Cricetulus griseus: one gene and its partners. The protein of the gene in region 1 binds, or shares a complex with, the protein of each later gene. Links are inferred from orthologs where the notes say so. Each region holds a gene or a part of one and is shown in the gene's direction. Other genes may lie near its edges.

The links.
Region 2: Exosc7 (region 1) and Exosc5 share a complex: the UniProt entries of both Homo sapiens proteins name them as parts of the RNA exosome core complex. The link is inferred for Cricetulus griseus from reciprocal best matches to the Homo sapiens genes EXOSC7 and EXOSC5.
Region 3: Exosc7 (region 1) and Exosc4 share a complex: the UniProt entries of both Homo sapiens proteins name them as parts of the RNA exosome core complex. The link is inferred for Cricetulus griseus from reciprocal best matches to the Homo sapiens genes EXOSC7 and EXOSC4.
Region 4: Exosc7 (region 1) and Exosc3 share a complex: the UniProt entries of both Homo sapiens proteins name them as parts of the RNA exosome core complex. The link is inferred for Cricetulus griseus from reciprocal best matches to the Homo sapiens genes EXOSC7 and EXOSC3.
Region 5: Exosc7 (region 1) and Exosc2 share a complex: the UniProt entries of both Homo sapiens proteins name them as parts of the RNA exosome core complex. The link is inferred for Cricetulus griseus from reciprocal best matches to the Homo sapiens genes EXOSC7 and EXOSC2.
Region 6: Exosc7 (region 1) and Exosc6 share a complex: the UniProt entries of both Homo sapiens proteins name them as parts of the RNA exosome core complex. The link is inferred for Cricetulus griseus from reciprocal best matches to the Homo sapiens genes EXOSC7 and EXOSC6.

The regions. Positions count from the first base shown.
Region 1 is NC_048597.1:230,058,305-230,062,998, forward strand, and holds part of Exosc7 (exosome complex component RRP42), read left to right. Parts: intron 1-2,887; coding exon 2,888-3,011; intron 3,012-4,135; coding exon 4,136-4,291; intron 4,292-4,694. UniProt on the Homo sapiens protein: Non-catalytic component of the RNA exosome complex which has 3'->5' exoribonuclease activity and participates in a multitude of cellular RNA processing and degradation events.
Region 2 is NC_048602.1:9,460,499-9,465,961, reverse strand, and holds the start of Exosc5 (exosome complex component RRP46), read left to right. Parts: upstream 1-2,258; 5' UTR 2,259-2,306; coding exon 2,307-2,454; intron 2,455-4,971; coding exon 4,972-5,085; intron 5,086-5,463. Other genes in the region: Bckdha (2-oxoisovalerate dehydrogenase subunit alpha, mitochondrial), read right to left, coding at 1,668-1,754. UniProt on the Homo sapiens protein: Non-catalytic component of the RNA exosome complex which has 3'->5' exoribonuclease activity and participates in a multitude of cellular RNA processing and degradation events.
Region 3 is NC_048595.1:373,625,464-373,630,407, forward strand, and holds Exosc4 (exosome complex component RRP41), read left to right. Parts: upstream 1-2,236; 5' UTR 2,237-2,318; coding exon 2,319-2,489; intron 2,490-3,307; coding exon 3,308-3,514; intron 3,515-3,650; coding exon 3,651-4,010; 3' UTR 4,011-4,056; downstream 4,057-4,944. UniProt on the Homo sapiens protein: Non-catalytic component of the RNA exosome complex which has 3'->5' exoribonuclease activity and participates in a multitude of cellular RNA processing and degradation events.
Region 4 is NC_048595.1:98,137,916-98,143,249, forward strand, and holds the start of Exosc3 (exosome complex component RRP40), read left to right. Parts: upstream 1-1,901; 5' UTR 1,902-1,910; coding exon 1,911-2,258; intron 2,259-2,814; coding exon 2,815-2,964; intron 2,965-4,702; coding exon 4,703-4,854; intron 4,855-5,334. UniProt on the Homo sapiens protein: Non-catalytic component of the RNA exosome complex which has 3'->5' exoribonuclease activity and participates in a multitude of cellular RNA processing and degradation events.
Region 5 is NC_048599.1:143,391,465-143,396,791, forward strand, and holds the start of Exosc2 (exosome complex component RRP4), read left to right. Parts: upstream 1-1,874; 5' UTR 1,875-1,899; coding exon 1,900-2,021; intron 2,022-3,563; coding exon 3,564-3,665; intron 3,666-5,327. UniProt on the Homo sapiens protein: Non-catalytic component of the RNA exosome complex which has 3'->5' exoribonuclease activity and participates in a multitude of cellular RNA processing and degradation events.
Region 6 is NC_048596.1:187,461,081-187,465,435, forward strand, and holds Exosc6 (exosome complex component MTR3), read left to right. Parts: upstream 1-2,055; 5' UTR 2,056-2,131; coding exon 2,132-2,950; 3' UTR 2,951-3,374; downstream 3,375-4,355. Other genes in the region: Aars1 (alanine--tRNA ligase, cytoplasmic), read left to right, coding at 29-142, 632-817. UniProt on the Homo sapiens protein: Non-catalytic component of the RNA exosome complex which has 3'->5' exoribonuclease activity and participates in a multitude of cellular RNA processing and degradation events.

The DNA.
Region 1 (4,694 bases):
ACCCTCATATTTTATGGTGAAAGTTGAACAACCTGAGTCTCATAACATCAGACATTATAATACACACAGCAGCATTTTTAGAGGCTTGTGAACAAGGAAAACTACTCACAAAATGAAACTTTCACATCCTGTTAGATAGCTCTTCTGCTTTGATTTTGACTGTTGTGTTTGGTATGTCTGGGAACATTTCTAATGGTCACTATCTTTAGTTTTCAGTGCTCATATTATGGTCAGTGTAACACACAGAGATTTTAGACCCTTTCTGTTATGTTGACTACAGAACAAATAAAAACTAAGTTAAACTTTTTTTTGCAAGATAAATTATTCGTGAGACTAGGAGCTGTAGTGCCCTCTACTCGATTGTGCCCTGTGCCACTGGACTCTGTTAGACCCTCTGAGAGGTCCAGACACTCCACCAGGAAGAGAGTTTGCATGCTAGAGCACACCACCACCAGATCTGTGTGTGTGTGTGTGTGTGTGTGTGTGTGTGTGTGTGTGTGTGTGTGTGTGTGTGTGTTAGACCTTATGAGAGGTGGTCCAGACACTCCACCAGGAAGAGAGTTTGCATGCTAGAGTATACCACCACCAGCTGTGTGTGTGTGTGTGTGTGTGTGTGTGTGTGTGTGTGTGTGTGTGTTAGACCTTATGAGAGGTGGTCCAGACACTCCACCAGGATGAGAGTTTGCATGCTAGAGCACACCACCACCAGCAGCCAGGCTTTGTGGAAATGGGAAAGAAGGTTGTCATCAGAAGTGGCTTAGCCTCTGAGATGAGTCTTCTTGGCTAGCTGGTTCGCATGGGTGCCAGGGAGTTGGGGAAGCTGTTTTGCTGTGAGGGAGTCCTGAGAAAATGGATGTCAGCTTGTGAAACCTAGCTACCCAGATCACGAACAGCTATCAGTCTCACTCTCAGGCAGCAAGGAACAGTGACCCCATGATGCCCTTGGATAGAAGATAGAAAGAACTTTGTACATTGAAGTCCTCCAGAAGAGTTGATGCCACTCTGTCTTCCCCAATCCTCTGCCTATGTTGGGCCCAAAGAATTAAGAAATTAAAAGTTCTCTCTCTTTCTCTCTCTCTCTCTCTCTCTCTCTCTCTCTCTCTCTCTCTCTCTCTCTCTCTCTCAGCCACCTTCCTCTTACTCCCCCCCCCCCCGTGTGTGTGTGTGTGTGTGTGTGTGTGTGTGTGTGTGTGTGTGTGTAAATATACAGACGTCTATTTTGGCATATCAGTCCTGTTTCACACTGCTTACTGCCCACTTCAAGGAGGATGTCACACTTAGTACTCTGAGGATGTCACACTGAGCACTCTGAGGATGTCACACTTAGCACTCTGAGGATGTCACACTGAGCACACTAAGGATGTCACAATAAGCACTCTGAAGATGTCACAATGAGCACTCTGAGGATGTCACACTGAGCACTCTGAGGATGTCACACTGAGCACTCTGAGGATGTCACAATGAGCACTCTGAGGATGTCACAATGAGCACTCTGAGGATGTCACAATGAGCACTCTGAGGATGTCACACTTAGAGCACTCTGAGGATGTCACACTTAGAGCACTCTGAGGATGTCACACTTAGAGCACTCTGAGGATGTCACAATGAGCACTCTGAGGATGTCACACTTAGCACTCTGAGGATGTCACAATGAGCACTCTGAGGATGTCACAATGAGCACTCTGAGGATGTCACAATGAGCACTCTGAGGATGTCACACTTAGAGCACTCTGAGGATGTCACACTTAGAGCACTCTGAGGATGTCACACTTAGAGCACTCTGAGGATGTCACAATGAGCACTCTGAGGATGTCACACTTAGCACTCTGAGGATGTCACACTGAGCACACTAAGGATGTCACAATAAGCACTCTGAGGATGTCACAATGAGCACTCTGAGGATGTCACACTTAGCACTCTGAGGATGTCACAATGAGCACTCTGAGGATGTCACAATGAGCACTCTGAGGATGTCACAATGAGCACTCTGAGGATGTCACACTTAGAGCACTCTGAGGATGTCACACTTAGAGCACTCTGAGGATGTCACACTGAGCACTCTGAGGATGTCACAATGAGCACTCTGAGGATGTCACACTGAGCACTCTGAGGATGTCACAATGAGCACTCTGAGGATGTTACAATGAGCACTCTGAGGATGTCACAATGAGCACTCTGAGGATGTCACACTGAGCACTCTGAGGATGTCACACTTAGAGCACTCTGAGGATGTCACACTTAGAGCACTCTGAGGATGTCACACTGAGCACTCTGAGGATGTCACAATGAGCACTCTGAGGATGTCACACTGAGCACTCTGAGGATGTCACAATGAGCACTCTGAGGATGTCACAATGAGCACTCTGAGGATGTCACACTGAGCACTCTGAGGATGTCACGCTTAGCACTCTGAGGATGTCACACTTAGAGCACTCTGAGAATGTCACACTTAGAGCACTCTGAGGATGTCACACTTAGAGCACTCTGAGGATGTCACAATGAGCACTCTGAGGATGTCACACTTAGCACTCTGAGTCCCTGACACAGAAGCTCTAGCCTCAACTTTTGACAGGTAGCGAGGATGTAAACAAGGTGGAGTTAACGAAATTCCTGCTTATAAAAAAAGAATTTCGCTGGGTGTTGGTGGCGCACGCCTTTAATCCCAGCACTCGGGAGGCAGAGGTGGGTGGATCTCTGTGAGTTTGAGGCCAGCCTGGTCTACAGAGCTAGTTCCAGGACAGCCTCCAAAGCTACACAGAGAACCCCTGTCTCGAAAAAACAAAAACAAAAACAAACAAACAAAAAAGAATTTCGGTTCCTGATCTCAAAAAAGGTTATGGTTCCTCCTTCCAGGAGATGGAAATTTCAATCATGCCTCTGTTCCCAGGATACCACGGGTTCGTGTTCTGGAGGATGAAGAGGGGGCAAAGGACATCGAGCTGTCTGACGATCCTTACGACTGTATCCGCTTGAGTGTAGAGAATGTGCCCTGCATCGTCACCCTGTGCAAGGTGTGAGCTTGTCTCTTAGCATTCTTGCCTTCCGTGGGGAGGCGGATCTCTTCCAACCCTAGGCTCTTGAGATTACTTCATAAGCTGAGAGGCTGTAGTTGTGCAAACCCTACAAATGTAGCTTTAACCCACATCTCATCATTCGGTTCCATTAGGTACAGACGAGTCCCAAGGGAAGGCTGCTTCATTAGCAGTCTGGCTGTCATGGTCCCTCTGCAGGCTCTGCACTCTATTGCACTGCTCATTTTCCATTAACTCCCTGTACTCCAGAGTCCAAGGTAGCTGAACACCGGTAGGTTCTCAAACAGTATTCCTCTATGGACCCTGATGTCCACATACAGGAACTGAGGGCTTGGGGCCAGTCCTAGGTGACACATGCCAAGTATAGTTTGCACGGAGCCCAGAGGTTTTCTGACTCTGACATCTGGCATAGCCTCAGGCTTGTGTTGGCTGGGATTGTGACTAATTCCACAAGAGACTCGTTATATAAAAATGAAGCTGAGCCAGGTGCAGTGGCTCATGTCTATAATTCCAGAACTCAGTAGGTGGGGACAGTAGGACTACTGCAAGCTTGAGACCAGCCTAGCCTATATATCAAGTACCTCGTCAGCATAGCTGCACAACAAAGACCTTGTTTCAAAACAAAACAAAACCAAAATCACACATTTCAGTCACTTAATACCACTGGAAGTTTTTTGAGAACTGAGATTGTAAAGAAATGTTCACAGGGCGTTGGGACTAAACAGAGCTCTGGAGGGTGGCATTATTTTGTATGTCCCTTAGCTGGGCTTTCTGGATTCACTGTTGGAGTGAACAAGAAGCCGTGGGGCCTCACATATGCATTTCCTGCCTGTGTTCCCTGTGGGAAAGCCTGGTGGTCTCTGTCCTGGTGGACTCTCTGCCCCCAAACTGCTTGTTGACATTTTGTCTTTTTATTATATTATTCACACAATGGACCATATTAACAATGTTGAACATTCCTTCCAGCATTTTCCAAACAAGCAGAATTTAAAATAAGATCTGGAACGAGCCATGCATGTACAGCCTTTGTAGGCTTGTGTCAGGGGGATCTGGGATCTCTGGTCTACTGTTCACATGTATGTTAAACAGCCCTGATCTTGCAGATTGGCTGCCGGCATGTGGTGGATGCCACACTTCAGGAGGAGGCCTGCTCCTTGGCCAGCTTGCTAGTGTCAGTGACCAGCAAGGGAGTTGTGACCTGCATGAGGAAGGTGGGGAAGGGCAGCCTGGATCCTGAGAGCATCTTTGAGATGATGGAGGTAAGTCCATGGTGCTGGGGCAAGCCTGCTTAGGGCAGCATGCTGCCTCCTACCCCTTCATTATCCATGTGTCTTCCCCGTTCACATCCAGGACCCCAGCTTAGGGCTGGGAGAGCAGTGGGTAGAGCTTTGGGGCTGGGGTCAGGCCCTGCCAGTGACGGTGTTTATCTTCAGCAAGTCTCTCCTCCTCTAATCCCCAGTGGCTGCACTTTGGTCTGAGAATACTGACTTTGACCATGTAAAGAGTCACCTAACTCTATCACAGGATGAGGAATTGAATTATTTTTTTCTTCCATTTTTTATTTAAATTAGAAATAAACAAGCTTGTTTTACATGTCAATCCTGGTTCCCTCTCCCTCCCTTCTTCCCCTGCCTGCCCCTAACACCCTATCCCATACCCTTT
Region 2 (5,463 bases), on another chromosome or scaffold:
AGAGGCAGAGCAGAGCAGTGAAATCATGTAGTCCAGCTCCAGAACCCAATCACTCAACCAGTCCTCTTTTCATGGGCATTTTACTTTAAAACCCTCTAACCAGGCATTTCCAACAAGATCTTTCTTTCTCCACACCCCATTTTTTTTTACAAGATCTTTTTGTTTGTTTGGGTTTTTTCATTGTTGTTGTGTTTTGGGGGTTTTGGATTTAGGCAGGCTTTCTCTGTGTAGCTTTGGAGCCAGTCGTGGAACTCACTCTGTAGACCAGGCTGGCCTGGAACTCACAGAGATCCACCTGCCTCTGCCTTCCGAGTGGTGGGTTTAAAGGCGTGCTCCACTACTGCCCAGCTAAGACCTTTCATTTATTAAGAGATGATCTCACTGTGTAGCTCTGGCTAACCTGGAACTCTACGTAGACCAGGCTGGCCTAGAACTCACAGTAGATCCACCTGTCTCTACCTCTTAAGTGCTAGGATCAAAATCCTGCATCTCCACCCCAGGCACTTGATTTCTTTTTTCAATCTTTTAGGGTTTTTTTTTTTTTTTTTTGAGTCAGGGTCTCATATAGCTCAGACTGACCTCAAATTCCTGACCTTCCTGGCTCTACCCAACAAGTGCTGGGATTAGTCATGCCTGACCATACCCAGAGCACATGAGGTTAGGAGTCAAATTCTGGTTGTAGCACACGCTGGGCAAGCACTCTGTCACTTAGCTACAGCACCAGACCTCCATACCTGCCCTCAGCAACAATGTATCAAAAGGGACTCTCGAGTTTCCTCAAGTGTTTTCAAGAAAAGTGGATCTCCAGGTGGGAGATTGAGACAGGACTGTCTCTAGTGCCATGCCAGTCTGGGTGGGACTCGGAGTGTGTTAGTTAAAGGCCATCTTGGACTACTCAGTGAGATCCTGCCTTAAAAAATAACATTGACAGGGGCTGGAGAGAGACCGACTGCTCTTCCAGAGGTCCTGAGTTCAGTTCCCAGCAACCACATGGTGGCTCATAGCCATCTATTATGAGATCTGATGCCCTCTTCTGGTGTGCAGAGATACATGGAAGCAGAATATTGTATACATAATAAATAAATAAAATCTTTTAAAAAAAATATGGGCTGGAGAGAGATGGCTCAGAGGTGAAGAGCACCGACTGCTCTTCCAGAGGCCCGAGTTCAGTTCCCAGCAACCACATGGTGGCTCACAGCCATCCGTAATGAGATCTGGTGCCCTCTTCTGGCAACAGGCATATGTGGAGGCAGAATGCTGTATATATAATAAATAAAATCTACAAAAAAAGGAATAATTTTTAAAAAACAACGTTGACAAAGGGTCCTGTGTGGATTTCTCCCTTCATGACATCAACCAACATACCCCGATGGCCTGTGACAGTGATCGCGCCCGGGCCCCCGCCTTCGCTTCTGATCGGGGACCGCAGGGGTCCAATCAGCTTCTTGCTCACCCAGCTTCACAAGTGGAGTTTTAAGTAACGGAATAAAGAAACGTGGGGCTGATCCTGGCCCACCCCACCCCCGGTTTTCTCCCTCTTCCCCTGACTCTTCTCTCCAAGGAGCGTCCGCGTCCTTTTCTTTCCTTCACGACCCGCACACACCGTAAGAGCAACCTCTGCGTCCGCAGCCACCTCGGGAGGGACCCCGTGGGGCCCAGGTACTTACGGATCTAGCCAAGCCCCGCGCCCCAGGCCGCCGCAGCGACAGGAGAGCAGCCAGGCCCCGGCTCTGTCTCCACATCGCCGCCGCCATCTCGCTCGATAGCCACGCCTCCTCTCTCCCCAGCTGGACCCGGGGCTGCCCCACCAGATGCCGTCCTCAAATGCCGGCACGGTCGGGCCAACAAGCGACTTCACTCCCACCGCCGTGAGTCCAAGACACGAACCTAAGTGCGCGTGCCGATTCTGATTATCCTCCGCCGTGGCTCTAGCCTTCCGCTTATAGCGGCTCCGATATCAGGCAGGAAAGGGACACCCTGACCACAGGCTCACGGGTTGAGGGCCGGGGGGCCTTGGGCGAGGTGGGCCTATTCCAAGACCCGCCCCCTCTCCTTTCTGGCCCAATGGCTTTGCGAGAATCGGGAGGCGGAGGCGGGGCGGGACCAGATTGTTAGTAAACGCTCAGCCACGTGCCAGGGACGAGTCAGGCGCCGCCCAGGCTGGCGCATGCGCAGCGGCCACGCAGCCGCTGCGAGCCGGGCCCGCGAGCCGGCGAGCCCGCGAGCGAGCGAGCGAGCCAGCGCGCGCGTGCGCACCACGGGGGCGGAAGCTACGGCCGCAGGCGGGGCGCGCGTGCTCGGCGGCGATGGAGATCGCGAAGCGTGCGGACGCCGAGCTGGGCGCTGGCACCGCCGCGGAGCCCGGCCCGCGGAGTCCCGGCTGCAGCCTCCGGCATTTCGCCTGCGAACAGAACCTGCTGTCCCGGCCGGATGGATCTGCTTCTTTCCTGCAAGGTAAAAAGAGCCTGATCCCCAGCCCCACTGTGGGGGGCTTGGGTTTCTTGGTTTTTGGGATTTTGGGGGGGACAGGGTTTCTCTGTGTAGCTTTGGAGCCTATCCTGGCACTCGCTCTGGAGACCAGGCTGGCCTCGAACTCACAGAGATCCGCCTGCCTCTGCCTCCCGAGTGCTGGGATTAAAGGCGAGCGCCACCAACGCCTGGTGGGGTTTGTTTTCTTTTCTTTTTTTTTTTTTTTTTTTGGAAGAGCGGTTACCGTGTAGTGTGCAACCGAGTGCGCCCATCTCTTTGAAAAGAAACGAAAAAACTATTTCTAGATACGTAGGAGGGGTCCACACCTCTTCCCCGACTCGAAAAAACAACCAAAAAAATATTTGATACGTCCAGCCTGGAAGGAATCAGGGGCAAGAGCACGCCCTAGGAAGAGTGGATATTCCAGAACAGGTGTAATTTCACCAAGGCGAATAGGCCCCTTGACTAGATTTCCTTCCACACACTTCTCCTGGATCGGTACACCTCCGGTTGAGGCTAAGGTGTTCGTTTGCATGCATTCCCTTTGAGAAGGACTTGTCATCGCCGCTGGGTCAAGTGCGGTGACAGCAGCAGATGACTTGGTCCACGCGAATGCCCTTCACATTGAACGTGATGATCCCCATTCTGGACCCACAGGTATCTCCCCTTCTCCCATCCCATCATTTGAGTAAATGTGTCTGTTGCTTGGTGTATTCATCTCATCAGTGTAAGTGATTGTAGAGAGAAAAGAGGCGTCTCACGACTGACACCCACACAACCCTGCCTCCACCCAATGCCGGTCAGCCAGCTTTGAGAGGTCGTGGGAGTGTGAGGAGCTATCAAAAGTAGACAGATTGGGCCGGGCGTTGGTGCCGCACACCTTTAAATACCAGCACTTGGGAGGCAGAGGCAGAGGCAGGCGGATCTCTGTGAGTTCTAGGCCAGCCTGGTCTCCAGAGCGAGTTCCAGGACAGCCTCCAAAGCTACACAGAGAAACCCTGTCTCGAAAAACCAAAAAAAAAAAAAAAAGATGCCCCAGCAGACTACCCTACAGGCCAGTCTGATGGAGGCAGTTCCTCAGTTGAGATTCCCACCTTTCAGATCTGTCTAACTTGTGCTGAGTTGACAAAACTAGCCAGCGTAGTATCTTCACTTAAAAACAGGATTCATAAAAATGGGGTACGTTCCCCAGGGAGGTAGAGGCAAGGCCAGGTTCACTCAGCTACATAGCAGGTTCAAGGCCAGCTTAGACTGTCTAGGGCCTGATCCCAGAAAATCCAACAGTGAAAACCTACAGAGCCCATGAGCCTGTCACCTGCCTTTGTTGGCTAGCCATCTTGTTTTTTTGTTTTGTTTTTCCCTTTGGACTTTGCACATGCTAGCATCCCTAACCCCTTGGGTTTTGTTGTTTTGTTTTTGTTTGTTTGTTTGTTTTATGGCTCTCCCTGGTGCCTGAGGAGGTCGGAAGAGTATGTTGGGTCCCCTGGAACTGTGGTTACAAACCTTTGTGAATCGTCTTCTACAAGAGCGACAAGTGCTCTTAATTGCTGAGCCATCTCTCCAGCCCACCTGTGATTCACTTATACACATGCATTTACCAGTTTGGAGTTGTGGTATAGAGTGTATTGGTCATTGGGCATTACGGTCAAAATCATGTGGAAACCACTGTTTGAGTGCAGTGTCTTCACTTTGTAGATGGCTTCTCTGTAGCCCACAGAGGTTATCAAAATCACACAAGGGCCTGGAATAGGCAATCAGGGCTAGAAGCCAGGCTTTTTTTCCTCCAGACCCATTTATGCCATTCTGGGAAAATGAGCAGAGATTAAGATCCCTACCCAACGCAACTACAGACCCTTTTTTGTTTGTTTTTTGTAAGGCCTTTTAAAATATTTTTAATAGTATATATTAATTATATGTAACAATGGATTTCTTTTTGGTTGGTTTATGAGATAGTCTTGTGTAGTTCAGGGTGGCCTCGAACTCAGTATGGAGCCAAGGATGACCTTGAATTCCTGACCCTCCCGTCTCTGCCTCCCAGACACTGGGAGGATATACGTGTGTGTGCCTGTGTGTACGGGTGCCCAAGAAGGGCAGAAGAGGGTGTCCATACCTTGGAGCTGAGTTACAAGGTGATTATGAGCAGCCTGCGGGTGCCGGGAACTGCATTCTAGGCTTCTGGAAGAGCAGTGTGGGTGCCGACCTGCTGAGCTATCTCTCCAGCCCCAACTGCTTCTAAAAACTCACCAGTAGCTGAAGTCTGGGCTGGGCTCTGGACTCACTGGCCAGCATCCTGTGTTTCAAGTATCTGTATCTTTTTAAAATGGGTATTTATTTGATCTTGTTGTGTGACACTGAGAGACTGGGCTTACTGCTTCTGTGAGCCACTGTCATGTGATCTTGACAAAAGTGCCTCGAGGGAAGGACTGCAGTAGTCTCCAGTTACAGATGAGAAGGCAGAGAAGAGAGTTGGTGTGGCAGAGGCCTCTGCTGATGTCTCCCCAGGTGACACCTCTGTCCTGGCTGGAGTGTACGGGCCAGCCGAGGTGAAGGTCAGCAAAGAAATCTTCAACAAGGCCACACTCGAAGTGATCCTGAGGCCGAAGATCGGGCTGCCTGGTAACTGGACTCAGCCAAACCTCCCCAGATGCAGTCTGTTAGGGCTCCCTGCCGCTTGCTTGGTCCAGGCTCCGCTCCCCTCCGTCTCTGCCCAGCTCTTTGTTTCATTTTAGTCCTTGCTGTACTGGGAATGGAATCCAGAGCTTCACTCCTGCTAGACTGATGCTCTTCCAGGGAGCCACACTTCTGGGCTCTCACTGGTGGATTCTGGTCATGCCTTCTTCTGCTAAGCTTAGGCCTCCCGGGTCCTCACTGGTGGGCTCCAGGCAGGTGTTCTAGTCCTGGGCCACGCCACCAGCCTTTTACCTTTTGAGACAAGGTCTCAAGTTGCCTAGGCTGGTACCGAGCTCCCTGTAGCCTAGGCTGCCTTCAAATTTG
Region 3 (4,944 bases), on another chromosome or scaffold:
GTGAGAGGATTGTCAACATTTTCCTATAAGAAAGCAGATAGGCTGGATATATTGTGTTGGGCTGGAGAAATAGTCTACCACAGAGACCCTAACAACCTCATCACAGTGTTTGTGCTTTCATGATGGCTGAGCACCAGAGAATAGGAGTCAGCCCTGCTGATGCGGCTTGGATGAGCCACCTTCAGCTCTTGACCCTCAGAAGCCCTGTCCAGCACCCCAGGGTGATCCCAGCACCTGTTGTCCCTGTTGGATTGGGTTGTTTTTCTAGTGTACTGCTGGTCCTTACCACAGGTGGTTATACTGAATTGCCTCAGGATTTTTGTTTGTTTGCTTTTCAAGACAGGGTTTCTCTGTGTAGCTTTGGAGCCTGTCCTGGAACTCAACTCCATCTGTAGACTAGGCTGGATTTGAACTCACAGAGATCCTCCTGCTTGTGCCTCCTGAATGCTGGGATTAAAGGCGTGTGCTACCCCCACACCTGGCTAGTGTGATGTTCTAACTCTGCTAATCCACAACAAACAATTGGAATGTTTATTCTCCCTCATCATTGCAATCTGTAACAATGATGCCATAACTTTCCTAATACAGCCCATCTGAAGGGTAATTTCAACCCAGTTTCCTTTCTATGCATCTGTATTGTCTTTTATCTATAACATCAACAACATCAGGAACCATCGAGACAGGCCATTGGATAGACACTCGCCACCAAGTCTTCACAACCTAAATTCAATCTCTAGAACCCATATAAAGGTGGGAAGAGAAAACTGATTCCACAGTTGTGTTCTGAACTCGGCATGCAAGCATGAACACAAATAGCTTTTTTTTTTTTTTTTTTAGGTGTGGTGGAGCACTAAGTATGCAGAGACAGCATGATCTCTGGGTTCTAAGCCAGCTGGGGCTACAGCAAGACCCTATCTTAACACACACACACACACACACACACACCACAAACAACCACCACAACATCATTATTTACCCTGGGTGAGAAAGATAACACATTTGGAATCCAGACTCAGAAGCCCTCTGCCAGGAATTGTGTCACTTAATTATAAGCCCCTGGGACACATGGGGCAGTTAAAGAGGAAGTGGTGGGAATGCAACCTGCTATATATACCCCATAGGTATGAAGGAGACAACAAAAACACAATCCAAGCCGGACGTTGTGGCCCCACCCATAATCACAACACTAGAAAGGCTCTGGTAGGAAGACTGCCAGTTCAAGGCCAACCTGAAATACATTAAACACTCAAAAAAGCAACCACAACAACCTGAGATACACATCCAGATTCCAAAAAGCAACAACAAAGAGACCTCAGGACGATTGGATTTCATATTTTCTGAGTTGAAGCACTCCAAAAAAGGTGAACACTAAAGGATCCTATCTTAAAAAAGAATTAGAACTCCAAAAGCTGCTATACAACCATGCAGCTGCTAGCTGGGCGTTGGTGGCGTAAGCCTTTAATCCCAGCACTCGGGAGGCAGAGGCAGGCGGATCGCTGTGAGTTCAAGGCCAGCCTGGTCTACAGAGCTAGTTCCAGGACAGGTTCCAAAGCTAAACAGAGAAACCCTGTCTCAAAAAAACAAGAAACGAACAGAAATTTCATACAATAAAAATGAAAATATACAACTAAAAAATAAGAAAGACCAGGGCTGGAGAAATGGTTTAAAGGTTAAGATCACTGGTTACTCCTCCTCCTGAGTTCAATTCCCAGCAACCACATGGTGGCACACAACCGTCTATAGAGGGGTCTGATGCCCTCTTCTGGCATAAAGTGCATGCAGACAGAGCACTTGTACATAGAATAAATAAATCTTAAAAAAAAAAAAAGTCGGGCGGTGGTGTCTCACGCCTATAATTCCAGCACTTGGGAGGCAGAGACGGAAGGATCTCTGTGAGTTCGAAACCAGCCTGGTCTACCAGAGCTAGTTCCAGGACAGGCTCCAAAGCTACACAGAGAAACCCTGTCTCGAAAAAAAAAAAAAAAAAAGACCAAAAAAATGTCTCCGCTGGGAAGAGAGTCTCCAACAAACCGAAGACGTCCAGAAGGAGAAGGCCGTCTTCAGTGCCTTCCTCCTTTACCGACCCGGGAGAAGCCGCAAAACGCTCTGCTCGGGCCTTCTGTACTCGGCCAGACCCGTACATTTAGAAAGCCGAGAATGCTGGGAGCTGTAGTTCCATCGGACCGGAAAGGGACTAGTTCTCCGGAAGCTGTAGTTTACCGAGACCGAAAAAGGTACGGACCGCCGGAAGCTATGGGTCGTGGAAGCTGGAGTCCTAAAGCGCTGTGCTCTGGGAGGCGGAGCTGGGGTCGTACAACATGGCCGGACTGGAGCTCCTGTCCGACCAGGGTTACCGGATAGACGGTCGGCGCGCGGGCGAGCTGCGCAAGATCCAAGCGCGTATGGGCGTGTTTGCGCAGGCCGACGGCTCGGCTTATATCGAGCAGGGCAACACCAAGGCGTTGGCGGTGGTCTACGGGCCTCACGAGGCGAGTAAGAGACCGGGCGCGGGTTCCTCCCGCCAGTGGGCCCTCATAGTCTCTGAGGTGCCTCAGCCGGCCTGGCGAAGCTCCACTCACTCCCCCTTTTCTCAGCTCATTATTCTGACTTCTTGGCGGGAAGAAGCTCCCCAGGCCACTGCAACACTATTTGCCTGTCTGCGCTTACTAACTACATCGGTTTTACTGAGTCTTCCGCGTCGCTTCTTTCTCTACTGGAACATAAATTCCCAATACAGGGACTCTCGATGTAATTGTCTACCTTTATTGCTGTGTCTCAGTGCTGTGTCAAGGCCAGCAAAACACGCACATTTTACAGTTTGGTTGGTATATGAGAGTTCAGCTTTCTAGGCGGAAGGCAGGGTGATAGTCGGGTATAGAACACATCAGGGCCGACTATTGGTAGGTAGAGAGGCAGTAGATCAAGTAAAGTTGAGTAGTTACCAAGGGGGTGGACCCAAGACTTTGAAAGTCGGGAAACTGAGACTTTGTTTTACATGTAATGGGGAGCCCCTGGTAGATAGGTAAATTATTAGTGTATAGGTGACACGGACCAGATGTTTGTAAATGTGGTGGCCACAATGGGAATAATTTGGGAGGAAATGGAGCTACTGTAGAACAAAGAGTTGCCTGCCAAAGGTAACTTATGGTTTAGTCTGAAAAGCCTCCCTCCAGCTAGGATTTGATTTGGAAGCCAGGTAGCCGCTGTTTTCTGAAGCACTAGAGGAAGAGGAGGAGAAAGGTTGAGTCCTGTGGGTTGAGTGTGACCCAGGAGGTAGGCCTGACACCTGTGTTCATTTCTCCTCCAGATCCGGGGTTCCAGGTCTCGAGCCTTGCCTGACCGGGCTCTAGTGAACTGTCAGTATAGTTCAGCAACCTTCAGCACTGGTGAGCGCAAGCGAAGGCCTCATGGGGACCGTAAGTCTTGTGAGATGGGGCTGCAACTACGCCAGACCTTTGAGGCAGCCATCCTCACACAGCTGCACCCACGCTCTCAGATTGACATCTATGTGCAGGTGAGCTAGCTGCAGCTTCAAACCCCTCCACCACCAGGAGTGGGTGGGCTCGGGGGTGGGGGTGGGGTGGCTGTATGAGGTGGGCCTGACATGCTGAAGGTTGAGATGTGAGTCTCATGTCCTGATGCCCCTTCAGGTACTGCAGGCAGATGGTGGAACCTATGCAGCATGTGTAAATGCAGCCACGCTGGCAGTGATGGATGCTGGGATACCCATGCGGGACTTTGTATGTGCATGCTCAGCTGGCTTTGTGGATGGCACAGCACTGTCGGACCTCAGCCATGTGGAGGAAGCAGCTGGAGGTCCCCAGCTAGCCCTGGCCCTATTGCCAGCCTCAGGCCAGATTGCACTGCTTGAGATGGATTCAAGGCTGCATGAAGACCACTTGGAGCAGGTTCTAGAGGCTGCTGCCCAAGCAGCCAGAGATGTGCACACTCTGCTGGATCGTGTAGTCCGGCAGCATGTGCAGGAGGCCTCTATCTTACTGGGGGACTGAGTGCCAACCACCCATATCCAAAATAAAGGCCTGTTCCTCTGCTATACACACCTTATTATACAGAGCAGCTCAGAGCCCTGCAAAGCAGAGTATGTAGCAATGCCCCTACCTGTGCTAGGAAGAGCAAGAGTGCTTAAGCCCACCGTGCGTTGGTGGCGCATACCTTTAACCCCAATATTTGGGAGGCAGAGGCAGGCAGATCTCTGTGAGTTCGAGGCCAGCCTGGTCTCCAGAGCAAGGGCCAGGATAGGCTCCAAAGCTACACAGAGAAACCCTGACTTGAAAAAATCGGAAAAAAAAAAAAAAAAAAAAAAGAGTATTTAAGCCCTCACACTAAGGAATATGCCATGTTCATCCAGCCCATCTGGGACCTTTGCACAAGGCTGAGGTAGAACTCAACTGGCTATGCTTGCCTATCATAGAGGTGTAAGGCTAGACTAATGTAGCAGTTCTCAACATGAGAGTCTCAACCCTTTGGGGGACAAATATCAGATATCCTGCATTTCAGATATTTACATTAAACTTCATAACAGCAAAACTATGTTTATGAATGGTTGGGCATGAAAAACTGCATTAAAGGGTTGAAGCATTAGGAAGGTTGAGAACCACTGGCCTGAAATCTTTCCTCAGGAATCTTCTTGGGCCATTTCTACCACTTGGACTCTAAAATAATAACAAGCTCTGGTTGCCTCTTGGCCATCTATCCTTACCTCTGCACCATTTAGACAAACTGCCTTCATCCACCTCTTTGTCTTCTGCCCACTATGCAGGTGCCTTGTGGTTGGACAAAAGCAATATGCTTTTCACTTTGTACTCCACTCACCTCGGTTTAGCCAGTGGTAGTATACCAACTTTCCAAAACCCTTGTATCTGGCCTTGATGGCCTTGATTCTGGCCCATCACTTAGGTGAGCCCACTGTATTAAGGTTTTAGA
Region 4 (5,334 bases), on another chromosome or scaffold:
ACTACTTGCTACCTAGCCATGGCCCACTCCCTAACTGTCTAACAAGCTGACTGCAGCACAAGTTGTCCTTTCATTGGTCCACTACACCCAGGGATTAAACAGCTTGCCAGCATCTTGCCAAATTTGGAGGAAATATAGTCTGTTGACTGTCCTGTCCCCAAATCTAAAAATTGGAGTTGGCAGCAAGAAATGAACAACTGACATAGCTCAAGGTCAAGGCCCTCTGTACTGCTGGAGAATTGAATAAAATACTCATTGAAGATACCAACTGAGAGAAATGCTTGTTTCAGATAACTCCAAAGCCAGAAAACTTTAAGTTCTTAAGTTCCTGAATTGTGTGTGGGTCTGGGATTTAACAGTTTTTTATCTCGCTGTTAGTGAAAGGACTCTGACCATCTCAAGTATGGCAAGCATGGCTGTGGCAAGCTTTATCCTCCCCCCACCCCATTCCTTCTGCCTTGCTAAAAACCGTTAGATCACATCCCTAAAGCTACTCCCAAGGTCTATTCCTTCATTTGGCTACTTTCTCCTTCTGAGACTGACTACCAAAGTCCAGCTATCAAAATCCCCCTTTGGTTCACCTAATTAACATGCCCAATCTAAATATATGCTAGCATCCTAGTCTATTTTGATGCAGACCTCTTTTTTCCCTTCTTAAAAACTACACCTTCAGGCTGGAGAGATGGCTCAGAGGTTAAGAGTACTGACTGTTCTTCCAGAGGTCCTGAGTTCAATTCCCAGCAACCACATGGTGGCTCACAACCATCCGTTATGAGATCTGGTGCCCTCTTCTGGTGTGCAGATATACATGGAAGCAGAATGTTGTATACATAATAGATAAAATCTTTTTTTTTTTTTTTTTTTAAAAACTACACCTTCAAAGTTACTTGCTGTTTTTCTGCCCGAGTCAGAAAGCAGCCACTTTAATTTTTCTTCCCTGATTAATAAAGGATCTCTCTGTGAAATAGGTGTTTGAGGAGTGTGTGCTTCTAATCCGGTCCAGGAGAGAGCCCCCTGCCCCCCCATTCGGGCTTTCCTTCAATTGGTGTGCTCCAAAAGAAATAGGGGCAAGAATTGTTCTGAGTTACTGATTTTCCTAAGCCATGTAGAGATAACTCAAGTAGGTGAAAAGGTGTGATATGTGTTGCGCGCGGGGGTGGAGTGGGGGTGGCGGGGGGGGAGCCCTAGAGTGTAATACACATAAGTGTTACATCTATTATGTACAAATGATAGGAACTACAGCTGAAAACACAGCAAAGGAGACAAATGAGTAAGACTTCCGTTGTTCTTTCTTTTTAATAATTGATTTTTATTTCATATGCATTGGTATTTTGTCTGCATGTGTATCGGTGTGAGGGTGTTAGATCCCCTGGAACTGGGGTTACAGGCAGCTGTGAGCTGCCTTGTGGGTGCTGGGTCCTGTGGAAGAACAGCCAGTGCTCCTAAACCATGAAGTCATCTCTCCAGCCCCTATTGTTGTTCTCCCATTCTTTATATTTTACAGAATTTAAATTGGTAGCAACGTCCAAACAAGTCATACTTTGCAAACCCTTTTTTCCCAGTTAAAATTTCAGCCACCTTTCTGTAGGCTGAATGGAAAGTAAAGCCTCCAAACCCAATACCCAGGGGCCCTTAGTTCCAGCACCCGTAGAGACTAAGCCGAAAGACCTGACACGGGATGTGAGGGCTCCAAATGAACTCCAGCTGGGCGTCTCTTTCACCCACCCGCGGAGAAACCACAGGGTGGGTGGGCTGATAGCTCAGATACGGGTGTTTGGGGGTGGGGAGGAGGGGGTACCGAAGAGAGGATGTGACTGGTTGGCGGTCTGAAGTCTATTTCAGAAAGCCCACAAAAACCGGAAAGGGATAACCCTGGAGGGCGGGCTCTTGGATGCGGAAGCGGAAGTAAAATGCCGGAAGCTGCGACGACTCCTGCTATGGCTGAAGTACTGTCGGTTGGGAAAGAATCGGTGGCCGGCTGCCGGGCGCGGGTAGCGCACAACGTGCTGAATCAGGTGGTTCTCCCTGGGGAGGAGCTGGTGCTGCCGGAGCACGAGGACGTAGACGGCCTTGGCGGCGCCGGGGAGCAGCCTTTACGTCTGAATTCGGGGGCGCGCCCGCGGCTGCGCGTCGTGTGTGGCCCGGGTTTACGACGCTGCGGGGACCGCCTGCTGGTCACCAAGTGTGGCCGCCTGCGCCACAAGGAGCCCGGAGGAGGCGGCGGTGGCGTTTACTGGGTGGATTCTCAACAGAAGCGGGTGAGCGGACGTTGGAGAGGCCGTGCTGCTGCGATAGTGGAATCCCAGTTCTGGGAAGACTCCCTGCAGCGGGGAGGAGAGGATGAGCTCAGCCTAGAGCCGCGGTGGCTTCTAGGTCCCCTCTGCATCTTCTTTAGAGGAACCACAGTAGAAACACAGCTTGAGAAGGGAGAAAGGAGAAAGGGGCTAGAAAGTAGGAAGCCGCAGGCGTGCCATGTGGAGTCCCAGTTTCAGTGAGTCTAAATAACAGGGAGTTAAATTATTCGTAGAGTAAGAGCTTTCATGTAGAAGTGTCTAATGGGTGGGTTTCCTTGACTGTAAGGATTCTTGTGCCGCCGGATGTATAAAAGATGCTGAAGTATGAAACCTGACTCAGGTCAACTACGGATTAGAGACAACAAAGTTGGATTGGTGCGGCCCGGTTTTGTAGTCCCAGCTACCTGAGGAATATGAGTTGGGAGGATTGTTTGAGACCCATCCTGAGCAACCTTGCTAAAACTTACTGCATATATGTTACAGTAGTCTTTTATGGTTGTTCTTTCATTATGTTTTGCAGTACGTACCCGTGAAAGGAGACCACGTGATTGGCATAGTGATTGCTAAATCTGGAGATATATTCAAAGTTGATGTTGGAGGGAGTGAGCCAGCTTCTTTGTCTTACCTGGCATTTGAAGGAGCAACTAAAAGAAACAGACCGAATGTGCAGGTAATGATGGGAGCCTTTGGTTTCAACAATAAGGCAAAAATAGCCACTCCCCAGAAATTTAGCTGCCCAGAGGACTTCCTGATTTGTCTCCAAAGCATAAACTATCCTTCAGATTCTCCAAGATAGTTCCTTAGGCGCTGCAGCTCCAGAACCAGTGCTGTGTTCTTGGTTCTTCTCTCCCAGGTTGAAGGGTTATGTTTGCTTCCCCTTGTTACCTGTGAGGTTCATATCCATATCACAAGGAAAGTGTCCCTAGTCTAAGGGACACTGGTACTGTCAGTCATCTATCTCTTCATCTTGGCTCTGAATCCTTGGAGCTGACAGAAGAGTGATCTTGTTACTACAGGATTTCTGGTTGGTTTAGCTGTATCCTTCCTGAGGATACATGTGAGCCAGAAATTTGATGGCATCTGTGCTACTTTTCTTTCAACTCTCACAGGTCTTGAGTCATTTGATCTTATTTGTTCCATCTCTTGTCTTTTGCATGCCTTATCCCTTTGTGTCTATGAGTTCAAGCATTTGCTCATTTTTGACAAAACTGGGCAGCAATCTCATTAACATTCCAGCTTCCATCTGTTAATATCCTCATGTTGACATTCCCTTTTTAAAGGTTTTATATGTGTGGATTTTTTTAAAAAAAGATTTAAGTATATGTGAATGCTCTATTGACTTTATGCCAGAACACAGCATCAGATCCCACTATAGATGGTTTTGAGCCACTATGTGGTTGCTGGGAATTGAACCCAGGTCCTCTAGAAGAGCAACCAGTGCTCTTAACCACTGAGCTATCTCTCCAGCTCCCATATTCCATTTCTTAACAGGAAAAAAAATGTTCAAATCATAGAGAATTCATTGGCATTGTGCCCCAGGGGTCTTCCCTCATATTAGCACTTCATGCTAATATGCTTAAGTTTCACAACACCACTGAACTTGGTTCCTTTGGGTCTTTAGTAATGGTGCTCTTCTGTCTGGATTGCAGTCTCTCAGCCTATGAGACAGACATCCATCCATTGAGATCCAGGCTAAGCACGACTATGTAAAGTCATTCATCATCATCACTTTTCCTGTATCTTTACCATGGTACTGGATTTATTCTTGAACTTGTCATGAGTTTATTCATTCTTGTTGCCCTGTAGAAGATCACATGTTCTTGAAAGGCATAAAGTGTCTTATGATTCATTCCCTCTAAGTTTTGTAGTCACCCAAAATGGTGGGTACTTAAATATTATTAATGTATGCATATCGAGGGTGTTTTGGCTCTATGTATGTATTTGCCCTCTATATGACTGATGCTTGTGGAGGTCAGGCAGGAAGGTCGGGTCCCCTGAAACTTAAGTTATGAATGGTTGTGAGTTGCTAGGAGGGTGCTAGGAACCAAACCTGGGTCCTTTGCAAGAGCATCAAGTACTCTTAACCCGTGAGCCATCTCTCCAGCTCTCAACAGTGGGGATTTTTAATGTTGAAATTCATTCTGTTTCCTCAGCTTCATCATTTTAAAGTTCAGTTTTGTAACATTTTAAATCTAGAGCTGGATGGTACTGGTGCACACCTTTTATCCCAGCACTTGGGAGGCAGCAGCAGGCAGATCTCTGAGTTCGAGACCAGCCTGGTCTACAAGATCTAGTTCCAGGACAGCCTCCAAAGCCACAGAGAAACCCTGTCTCAAAAAACCAAAAAAAAAAAAAAAAAAAAAAGGATTTCTGGATGAAGGGAACTTTTCTGCTTTTCTGTCTTATAGGTTGGAGATCTCATCTATGGCCAGTGTGTGGTTGCTAATAAAGACATGGAACCAGAAATGGTCTGTATTGACAGCTGTGGACGGGCCAATGGAATGGGTGTGATTGGACAGGATGGTCTGCTCTTCAAAGTGACTTTGGGCCTAATTAGAAAGTAAGTTATGATACTTGTTAACTGCCCTCCTTTAATGAAAATTTAAGCTAGGTGGTGGTGGTGCAGACCTTTAATCCCAGCACTTGGGAGGCAGAGGCAGTCAGCTCTCAGTGAGGTCGAGGCCAGCCCTGGTCTACAAAGAGAGTTCCAGGAATGTATCACAGGGAAACCCTGTCTCCAAAAAACAAAAACAACAATAACAAAATAAAATAAAATAAAAAAGATACCCTGGAGCTGTAGTGAGAGATGGTTGTGAGCCACCATGTGGGTGCTGGGAATTGAACCTGCTGCCTCTGGAAAAGCAGTCAGTGCTTGTAACCATCTCTGCAGCCTTTTTTCTAGTGCCTTTTCTGATGTCACACTTCAAGTTCACGCTGGCCTGTCCTTTTCTCTTTCAGAAGGCCTGCTGCTCTTTATAACTAACATGTAACATATGTGAAAACCGGTCTTTCCCTAATTTTTAGATTCTCGAATATGGAT
Region 5 (5,327 bases), on another chromosome or scaffold:
GGTAGGGTTGGCTTTTTTGATAAATGTAGTTGTGATCACTGGTTAAGGTAAGGACTGCTGACCCTTTGGAAATTTATAAACAATTGACCAAGTGAGTCTTCAAGAGGGAGACAACCAGATTTGGCTTAATTTTCTTTAGGGACCCATTTGAGTAGAGAACTATGTTGCTGATTCTGTGAGGTTGAAATTCAATGTGCTGAGGCAGGGTATGGTGGTGCAGAGGCAGAAGCAGGGACAGAGGGACAGAGGGGCAGAGGGGCAGAGGGGCAGAGGGGCAGAGGGGCAGAGGGGCAGAGACAGAGTCAGGCAGCTCTCTGTGAGTTCAAGGCCAGCTTGGTCTACCTAGCAAGTTTAGGCTAGATAGGGCTACATAGATAGACTTTGTCTAAAAACAAACAACAAAAGACAAATTCAGTAAGCCTCAAACCTCGAAGCACCAGGGGAAATGGGGGTTAGTGAATGGTGAGGAGAAGGGCCCAGGGAAATGCCTCTGTTAAACAGAAGGCTCAAGTAAAGCCACAGGAGACAGCTGTCTTATTTTCCATTCACTACTGAACAACCGATCAGAGAGCAATCAGCTAGATATGTGAGTATAAGCAAAGATCTTTGTGTTGTGTGTACACATGGCCTCCCTACCAAATACACTTTCCTTGCCACACGTGGCTGGCTTTCACAACAGTCATCTTCCAAAAGAAATACTCTCTATACTCACTCAGAAGAGGTCCTTACTAAACTACAGTGAGAGCCATGGGGGCAAATAGGCAAGGACCCAAATCAGCACCTAAGGGGCAGCTCTAACATAGAATACAAAGCCCATTAAGAACAGTATTCAAAATGCTCTACCTTCTGCTCAGGCGGTGTTTTCTGTAAATCTTGCCTCCAAGTCCTGATCTCTAGCCTATAAAACACTAGACTGTAGTGGTTTAGAGTTGGATGGAAAAGCTTGAGGTTCATCTCTCAATCTCCACACTTGGCCAACAATAAATAGAATGATGAATATGGAAAAGTTTGGGCAAAAATGTATACTACAGCTTGTCATGATGGTTCACACTTGTAATCCCAGCACTTGGGAGGTGGAGGAGGAGGAGAAGAAGATCAAGAATATCCTGGGTTATACAGCCAGTTTGAGATCATCCTGGACTACATGAGACCCTGTCTCAAAAAAAAAAAAAAAAAAAAAAAACTAAACCCAGGGCTGGAGAGATGGTTCAATGGTTAAGAGCATTGCGTGCACTTTCTGAGGACCTGGTTTTGATTCCCAACATCCACAATTCGGCTTACAAACATCCGTAGCTACAGTTTCAAGGTATCTGATACTCTTTTTTGGCCTCTGTGGGCACCAGACACTCATGTACAAAGGCATACATATAGGCAAAACTCTTATATACATAAAACAACAAACCAATCAAAATCGAAAACCACCACCACCACCAGCAGCAGCAGCAGCAGCAGCAGCAGCAGCAGCAGCAGCAGCAGCAGCAACAAAAACTCAACCTATTCAAACCTGTGTAATCCTAGCTCTTGGAAAGTGGAGGCATAAGATCAGGAATTCAGCAGGGTTATCCTCGACTACACAGAGTTTGAGGCCAGTCATACACGGGACCCTTTCTCAAAATAAAACAAACAAAAAACCAAAACCAGCATCCCGACGCCAAATCAGATCAACATCATACTCCACTACAACGAGATAACTTATTATTCCACAGGTGCTTCCTTGCCAGTAGTAAAAATGGCAGCTTGGTGCCCTCCTCCCTCCCTCAGGTTAACTTAATAGTTGCCAATAGTCAAAATGGCCGCTACACCATGCATTTCTATTGGTCGCCGCTCTGAAGGTGGGCGGAAGTTGCTGCGCCGAGACTAGAGAATAGAGCTGCGCCTGCGCAAGTCATTGGCGCCAAGATGGCGATGGAGATGAGGCTTCCTAAGGCTCGCAAACCTCTCAGTGAGAGCCTGGGCCGCGACTCTAAGAAACACTTGGTTGTACCGGGGGACACGATCACCACGGATACAGGATTCATGCGGTACGTGAGGATTTGGGGGACCCAAGGCCCCAGGAGGCGGCTGCGGAGCTCTGCACGTGGCCTCCTGTCCCCTGGTATCTAAGTTACCGAGTTACCCGGGTCACATCCAGCACCCACAGTAACCCTCTCCTTTCCGAGCCTCGTGCTTCTGACTCCCTTCTTCTTGGGTGAACCTGTTTCAGCCCATGTTTCCCTCTGATCTATGGCGTCCGAAACTTTTGAGTCCTCAGTCTGAAGCAAGGTTTTTGAGCTTTCCTGGGGAGGGTTAACTGTGGAGGCTGGGAGCGGGACCATTCTTAGAGCCCCCTGCAGGGACAGTGGGCGTTGCTGGTTTGGTCACCTCCCTCGGTGTCACCTCAGCAAGGAGGCTGGTTTTAAAGCAGTGATTGGGGTCCGGGGGTTGAGCCAACATACAGTGCTTGAAAGGCAGACATCGTGTGGTAGTTAGGGTAAACTCTGGAGCTGGACAACTGCCATCATTATTGTTATCAGTAGCAGTAGCACCTTGCTAAATTTGGTATCCTTACCCTGAAGACAGTGGTGACGACCGCAGTTGGTAGGGTAGTGAGGAACTGGAGAGGAAGGCAGAAAAGCAAAATCCACCATTGGATTACCACCAAAGATAAATCTGTGTTAGGTAGCCAGTCTCTCCCCTCTCACTCTGAGAAACGGTCTCACTATGAAACACTACTGGCTGTTTTGGAACTTAACTGTGTAGACCACTCTGGCCTGGAACTCAGAGATCCCCCTGCTTTTTCCTTCCAAGTTTTGGGCTCAAATATGTGGCTACCACACCTGGTTCTCCTTCCCTTCCTTTCCCCTTCCCTTTCTTTTTTTTTTTTTTTTGGTATAAATGAGGTTAAAGTGTTTATAACATTGCCTGTAAGCTTTAAGGTTGAGATTAATGGATAGTAGAGATCTTAGGATTCATTCCGTCATACTTTCAACATATCTTGTGTGGTTGAGGTACAAAAGTGAAAACCTGTGCCCAGGTGGTATTTATAATTTATCTAGCAATGAGACAGAAACAAGAAATGCCATTAGAAAGTTTTAACTGCAGGGGCTGGAGAGATGGCTCAGTGGTTAAGAGCACTAGCTGCTCTTCCAGAGGACCTGGGTTCAATTCCCAGCACCCACATGGCAGCTTGTAACTGTCTGTATCTACAGTTCTGGGGGATCTGACACCTTCATACCACTGCACATAAAATAAAGTTAAATAAATTATATATATATATATATATATATATATAATATATATATATATATATATGGGAGTTTTAACTGCAGTGGATCAGGGGAGCAGCTGGGAAGAGGGTGGGTGAGACAGCAGTGGGAAGAGCTCCTGTGTTGCCTGGGAGGAAGGTTGTTGGAAAGTGACATCTGAGTTGACCTGTTTAGGTTGAAGGAGATGCCGTGTAGCTCTGAGGAGTGCATCAGGCTCAGGGCAGGAGGAGCCTGTTAGCTTCAAGAAAGTTCTTCTAGATGGGAGAGGTCACCTCCAGTATGACATGGTATTTTTTCTTTGGTCTTGTCCTTCAACAGGGGCCATGGAACATACATGGGAGAGGAGAAGCTCATTGCGTCTGTGGCTGGCTCTGTGGAGAGAGTGAACAAGCTGATCTGTGTGAAAGCCTTGAAAACCAGGTGAGCACGGAAGGAATGGAGCTCTTTCTTAGAGCATCTGGGTTGCACACAGGTCTCTTCCATCTCCCCACACTCCACAATCTGGCCTGTTACGGGCCTGCTGTGTTGAATTCAGCTGTTTGTCATAGTTAGCTTCAGCTGCCAACTTGACATAAATCTAGAGTTAACTTGGTAAGCAGGAACCTAAACGGAAGAATTGACTTCATCAGATTGGTCTGTGGGCATGTCTGTTGGGAAAGCCCAGTCCATCCCTGGGCAGGTGGGCCTGGGGAGTGTAAGGATGCTGGTTGAGGGCTGTTTTCCAGTCTGGATGTCTGTTTCCTTCATACATTTTAAGGTGCCATTAGTAGAATTTGTGCTGAGCTTATCCCAGAGTGTGACCGGAATCAAGGTTGATAGTGCAAGGTTTTGGCCTAAGCGTGGGAGGTTGGGTGTGTGTGTGTGTGTTGTGTGTGTGTGTGTGTGTGTGTGTGTGTGTGTGTGTGTGTGTGTGTGTGTGTGTGTGTGTGTGTGTGTGTGTGTGTGTGTGTGTGTGTGTGTGTGTGTGTGTGTGTGTGTGTGTGTGTGTGTGTGTGTGTGTGTGTGTGTGTGTGTGTGTGTGTGTGTGTGTGTGTGTGTGTGTGTGTGTGTGTGTGTGTGTGTGTGTGTGTGTGTGTGTGTGTGTGTGTGTGTGTGTGTGTGTGTGTGTGTGTGTGTGTGTGTGTGTGTGTGTGTGTGTGTGTGTGTGTGTGTGTGTGTGTGTGTGTGTGTGTGTGTGTGTGTGTGTGTGTGTGTGTGTGTGTGTGTGTGTGTGTGTGTGTGTGTGTGTGTGTGTGTGTGTGTGTGTGTGTGTGTGTGTGTGTGTGTGTGTGTGTGTGTGTGTGTGTGTGTGTGTGTGTGTGTGTGTGTGTGTGTGTGTGTGTGTGTGTGTGTGTGTGTGTGTGTGTGTGTGTGTGTGTGTGTGTGTGTGTGTGTGTGTGTGTGTGTGTGTGTGTGTGTGTGTGTGTGTGTGTGTGTGTGTGTGTGTGTGTGTGTGTGTGTGTGTGTGTGTGTGTGTGTGTGTGTGTGTGTGTGTGTGTGTGTGTGTGTGTGTGTGTGTGTGTGTGTGTGTGTGTGTGTGTGTGTGTGTGTGTGTGTGTGTGTGTGTGTGTGTGTGTGTGTGTGTGTGTGTGTGTGTGTGTGTGTGTGTGTGTGTGTGTGTGTGTGTGTGTGTGTGTGTGTGTGTGTGTGTGTGTGTGTGTGTGTGTGTGTGTGTGTGTGTGTGTGTGTGTGTGTGTGTGTGTGTGTGTGTGTGTGTGTGTGTGTGTGTGTGTGTGTGTGTGTGTGTGTGTGTGTGTGTGTGTGTGTGTGTGTGTGTGTGTGTGTGTGTGTGTGTGTGTGTGTGTGTGTGTGTGTGTGTGTGTGTGTGTGTGTGTGTGTGTGTGTGTGTGTGTGTGTGTGTGTGTGTGTGTGTGTGTGTGTGTGTGTGTGTGTGTGTGTGTGTGTGTGTGTGTGTGTGTGTGTGTGTGTGTGTGTGTGTGTGTGTGTGTGTGTGTGTGTGTGTGTGTGTGTGTGTGTGTGTGTGTGTGTGTGTGTGTGTGTGTGTGTGTGTGTGTGTGTGTGTGTGTGTGTGTGTGTGTGTGTGTGTGTGTGTGTGTGTGTGTGTGTGTGTGTGTGTGTGTGTGTGTGTGTGTGTGTGTGTGT
Region 6 (4,355 bases), on another chromosome or scaffold:
TATGACCTGACATGAAGTTATCCCACAGGCCCTGAATGAAGCTTTGAAGCTGTTCAAGACTCATTCTCCTCAGACGTCTGCAATGCTCTTCACAGTGGACAACGAGGCTGGCAAGATCACATGCTTGTGTCAGGTTCCCCAGGTCAGAACTCCCTATAGCCTCACTCTAGATCAGCTAAGCCATGGTGACGCACACCTTTAATCCCAGCACTCAGGCAGAGGCAGGCAGATTTTGAGTTTGAGGCCAGCCTGGTCTATAGAGCAAGTTCCAGGACATAAGGGGCGGAAAAAGCCTACAAACTCCTTTGCCAATGGGAAGCACTGTCTGTATCTTCTCAGAGAGGGGTTCTTTGTAGTATTTGCCAAGACACTGTGTATGTGTATGTGTCCCAAGGCCTTCCTGTTGGTAGATGTGTTAACTACTGGCTGGTGCCTGGCATTGCTTTTTGTTCTCACCTTGACAGTGGCCATAGCTGCTCCCCTGTCGCAGCTGTAGAGTCAGTCTTGGCCTCTGGTAGCATCACCCAGGATATGAGTCGTGTTGGTGGCTCCCCTCCTTGTGGTGTCCCTCTGTTCCCCATCTCAATCCCATGTTCTATTCTAACTACCATTTCCCCTTCCTGTCTTCTAGAATGCAGCCAACCGAGGCCTAAAAGCCAGCGAATGGGTGCAGCAGGTTTCAGGCCTGATGGATGGTAAAGGAGGTGGCAAGGATGTGTCTGCCCAGGCCACAGGCAAGAACGTGGGCTGCCTCCAGGAAGCCTTGCAGCTGGCTACCTCCTTTGCCCAGCTCCGCCTGGGAGATGTGAAGAACTGACAGGAGAGAAGCCCTCACTGGGAAGCGTTTCCCCATCAAACAAATGTGTCAGAATGCAGGAGTGCACCCAGGAGCTCCCCTGCCATGAAGACATTTGAGTCTTGGGACCTTTCAGTCGCCCTATCCGTCCTAATCCAGCAGTAACTGGAACATACCTGGAGCTGTCCTGTGACTTATTGCCCCTTTCCGTTACTGCTCTGAGCCATACTGTCAGCACCATCTGTCTAGAATCACTACCCCAGGAATGCTGTTGAACATCACCGTGATCATGTCTAGATAAGACCACTCTGCCGACCTGAGGCTTCTAGGTCATCTGCAGGTAGGAAGCCTTTTTGTTGCAGAAAATAAAAAGGACCATGTGCAATACTTGATAAATGCATTCTACTTTTTCTCCCCGGGGTGGACCCTGACTCCCTGTATGTCTGCAGAATACAGGCTGCAGTTCCAGCTAGTTTCTGATTGAAATGATCACAGAATACATCCCTAGACCCCTGAACTTTAGGAGTGGCCCCTGGGATGGCAGAGACATAATGGAAGGGCTGAATTGAGGCATTCAATAGAGTGGGGAAGGTTTCTACAGAAATTCTCAAGTGGAAAAACACCTTTCTCAGTCTCTTGGGACAACCTCTTAATGCCTTGGACCATGTATGTCTCATCTCTACCTCCTTTTGAAGTTGCTGATATGAGGTCAGAAAACTAATATAGGAAGTATAAGCATGGAGGTGTCTGTCTCCCAGTAACTGTCCTATCTGTGTTTCTTAACCTAAAGTAGTTCAAGCCTGGCCCAGCCTAAAATGTAATTAGTCTGAGTCTACAAACAGCAGAGTCTGGAAGCAGTAGTGTGTGGGAGGTAGAGATGTTGCCTGCTCATGCCAGTTCCTCAGGGTGTTAGAAATGTACATATATGCGTGCGTGCGTGCGTGCGTGCGTGCGTGCGTGCGTGTGTGTGTCTGTGTACACACAGTATAGGAAGAGAAATTTCCATCAGTTTATTAAACAAGTGTTGAAGCCAGCTGGGGGACTGAGTACAGGAGTGAACAAAAAGCCCTGATGTTGTGCAAGTTTATGTAAAAAAAGAAAGTGTAAATGCAAAATTCAAGAAATAACCTTAACAGGTTAAGAGTCATTAAGATCAGGCCAGGTCACAGCGCGGGCCAAGTCCAGCTGTACCTCCTCCACACCTCTAGGTGGCAGTGCATCCACCTACCGCTCTCCCGACAGGCTGCGCGCGGGCGCGCCTGTTTTAAGTAAGCGGAAGAGCCGGTGCGCAAGGTAGCCCAGCAGGCGGAAGTGGCTCGTGCGCCGGTAGCCGCCATGCCGGGAGACCACCGTCGTATCCGCGGGCCGGAGGAGTCTCAGCCGCCGCAGCTGTACGCGGCCGACGAAGACGAGCTGCCTGCTGCCCGCGACCCGACGCGGCTACGGCCGGTGTACGCGCGCGCCGGGCTGCTGAGCCAGGCCAAGGGCTCGGCCTACCTGGAGGCCGGAGGCACCAAGGTGCTTTGCGCCGTGTCGGGCCCGCGCCAGGCCGAGGGCGGCGAGCGCGGCGGCGGCCCTGCGGGAGCGGGCGGCGAGGCTCCGGCCGCCCTCCGTGGCCGCCTGCTCTGTGACTTCCGCCGCGCGCCCTTCTCCGGCCCCCGGCGTCGCGCCCCCCAGGGCGGCGGCGAGGAGCGCGAGCTGAGTCTGGCGCTGCAGGAGGCTCTGGAGCCCGCGGTGCGCCTGGGGCGCTACCCTCGCGCCCAGCTCGAGGTGTCCGCGCTGCTGCTGGAGGACGGCGGCTCTGCGCTGGCCGCGGCTCTCACGGCCGCGGCGCTCGCCCTGGCCGACGCGGGAGTGGAGATGTATGATTTGGTAGTGGGCTGCGGCCTGAGCCTCGCACCGGGACCCTCGCCCACTTGGCTGCTGGACCCCACGCGGCTCGAGGAGGAGCACTCCGCAGCCGGCCTCACGGTGGCGCTCATGCCGGTGCTCAATCAGGTGGCCGGGTTGCTGGGCAGCGGGGAAGGCGGCCAGACTGAGAGTTGGACGGACGCGGTGCGCCTGGGCCTGGAAGGCTGCCAGCGCCTCTACCCAGTGCTGCAGCAGTGCTTGGTGCGAGCTGCCCGCCGGAGGGGCGCCGCCGCCCCGTCCTGATTGGAAAACCCGAGCAACAAGGATGCGGATGACTGCTGATGTCCTTCTTTCCCAAACGGCCCGGCTGCTGGTCGCCTGCCTTGGCCGAGCTGAGAAACGAGAGTGGGAGGCAGCGCGCACTGAACCGAAGCGCTGGACAGCTGTGTTGGAACGGTTTAAAGGGCCTTAGCAGCCTTACTCCCAAGTTGGAAAGGACTTCGGCTGGATTACCTGGTAAATGAGCTGTGTTCTTGTAAGGGATGGACCCTGTGCAGGCCAGCCATTGGCTCCAGTGTATGATAAACTGCTTCTTTTGAGAGGATGGACAAGGGACTTTGCCTTCTCACTACCCGAACTAAAACATAAAAACCTTTTTTATACCTGAAAATACATCTTGTGGCTTTTCTTGGTACTACAGTTAGAAACAATGCCGTTTTGAACTGGGCATGTGTTGAGTCTGTATTGCCAGTATTGACTGTATTGTCAGTACTATCTTAAATTTTCCTGTCTCTTAGCTCACTGTAAGTGAAAAGGAGTAACGTGCTTTAGAGGAGAAACCTCCTGCCCTAGGAGCAGTGTCTGAGGTGAAAAGACCGAGGAGATGTCAGAACAGCCAGAGCTACACAGAGAAACCCTGTCTCCGACAAAACGACAGGAGAGTTAAATAGCCTCAGAAATCTGGGTGCACACCTATCCTCTCCTTTGAAGCACAAGATCATGTCTAGGAGTTGGGTAACTGGAAAGGATTATGCTCTAGAAAGAAGCCCTGTCACTCCCTTCTTTGGCCAGTAGGGTAGCATAACTGGAGGTTTCCATGACTTTGCAGAAGTGATAGTGCAGACCTTTAAAACCCAGCACTGGTGGGGCAGAGGCAGGTGGATCTCTGAGTTCTAGGGCAGCCAGAGCTACATAGAGAAACCCTGTTGCAAAAAAGGAAAAAAGAAAAAAAAAAGTGGAGTCCTGGTCTGGCTTCATTATATGGTGTCTCCTGTCCAGTCTTGGCTAGGGCAGCAATGAACTACGAGGAGGAAGAACTCCTAAAAACTGTGGCACATTTACAGCCTGGCTATTCCTTAGGCAGAGCTGGCTTTACTGACCAGGAGTGTAGGGTTCCTGATCTTCACTGAGGCTGAGTTGAAGGCAGCTGTGTATGACTGTTACAGGTAACTATCCTAGAGGTCTGTTCAGCCTCTTATGAGGACCTCATAGGAGCCCCTGACCAGGAGGGAGAAATACATTTTTATTTTTTTCCCTTCTGGCATGACTCTTTGTAGAGCAAATCTGAAGTTAGTATACCAGTGAAAATCAAGATTAAAAAAAAATGACATAAAACTTATCTGCTTATTTTGAAGAGTAGCTTATGGCTTTGTAGGGCACATTGTGGTGGCTTTAACCAAAAGGGGCTGGTTAGGTAGGTACACACATA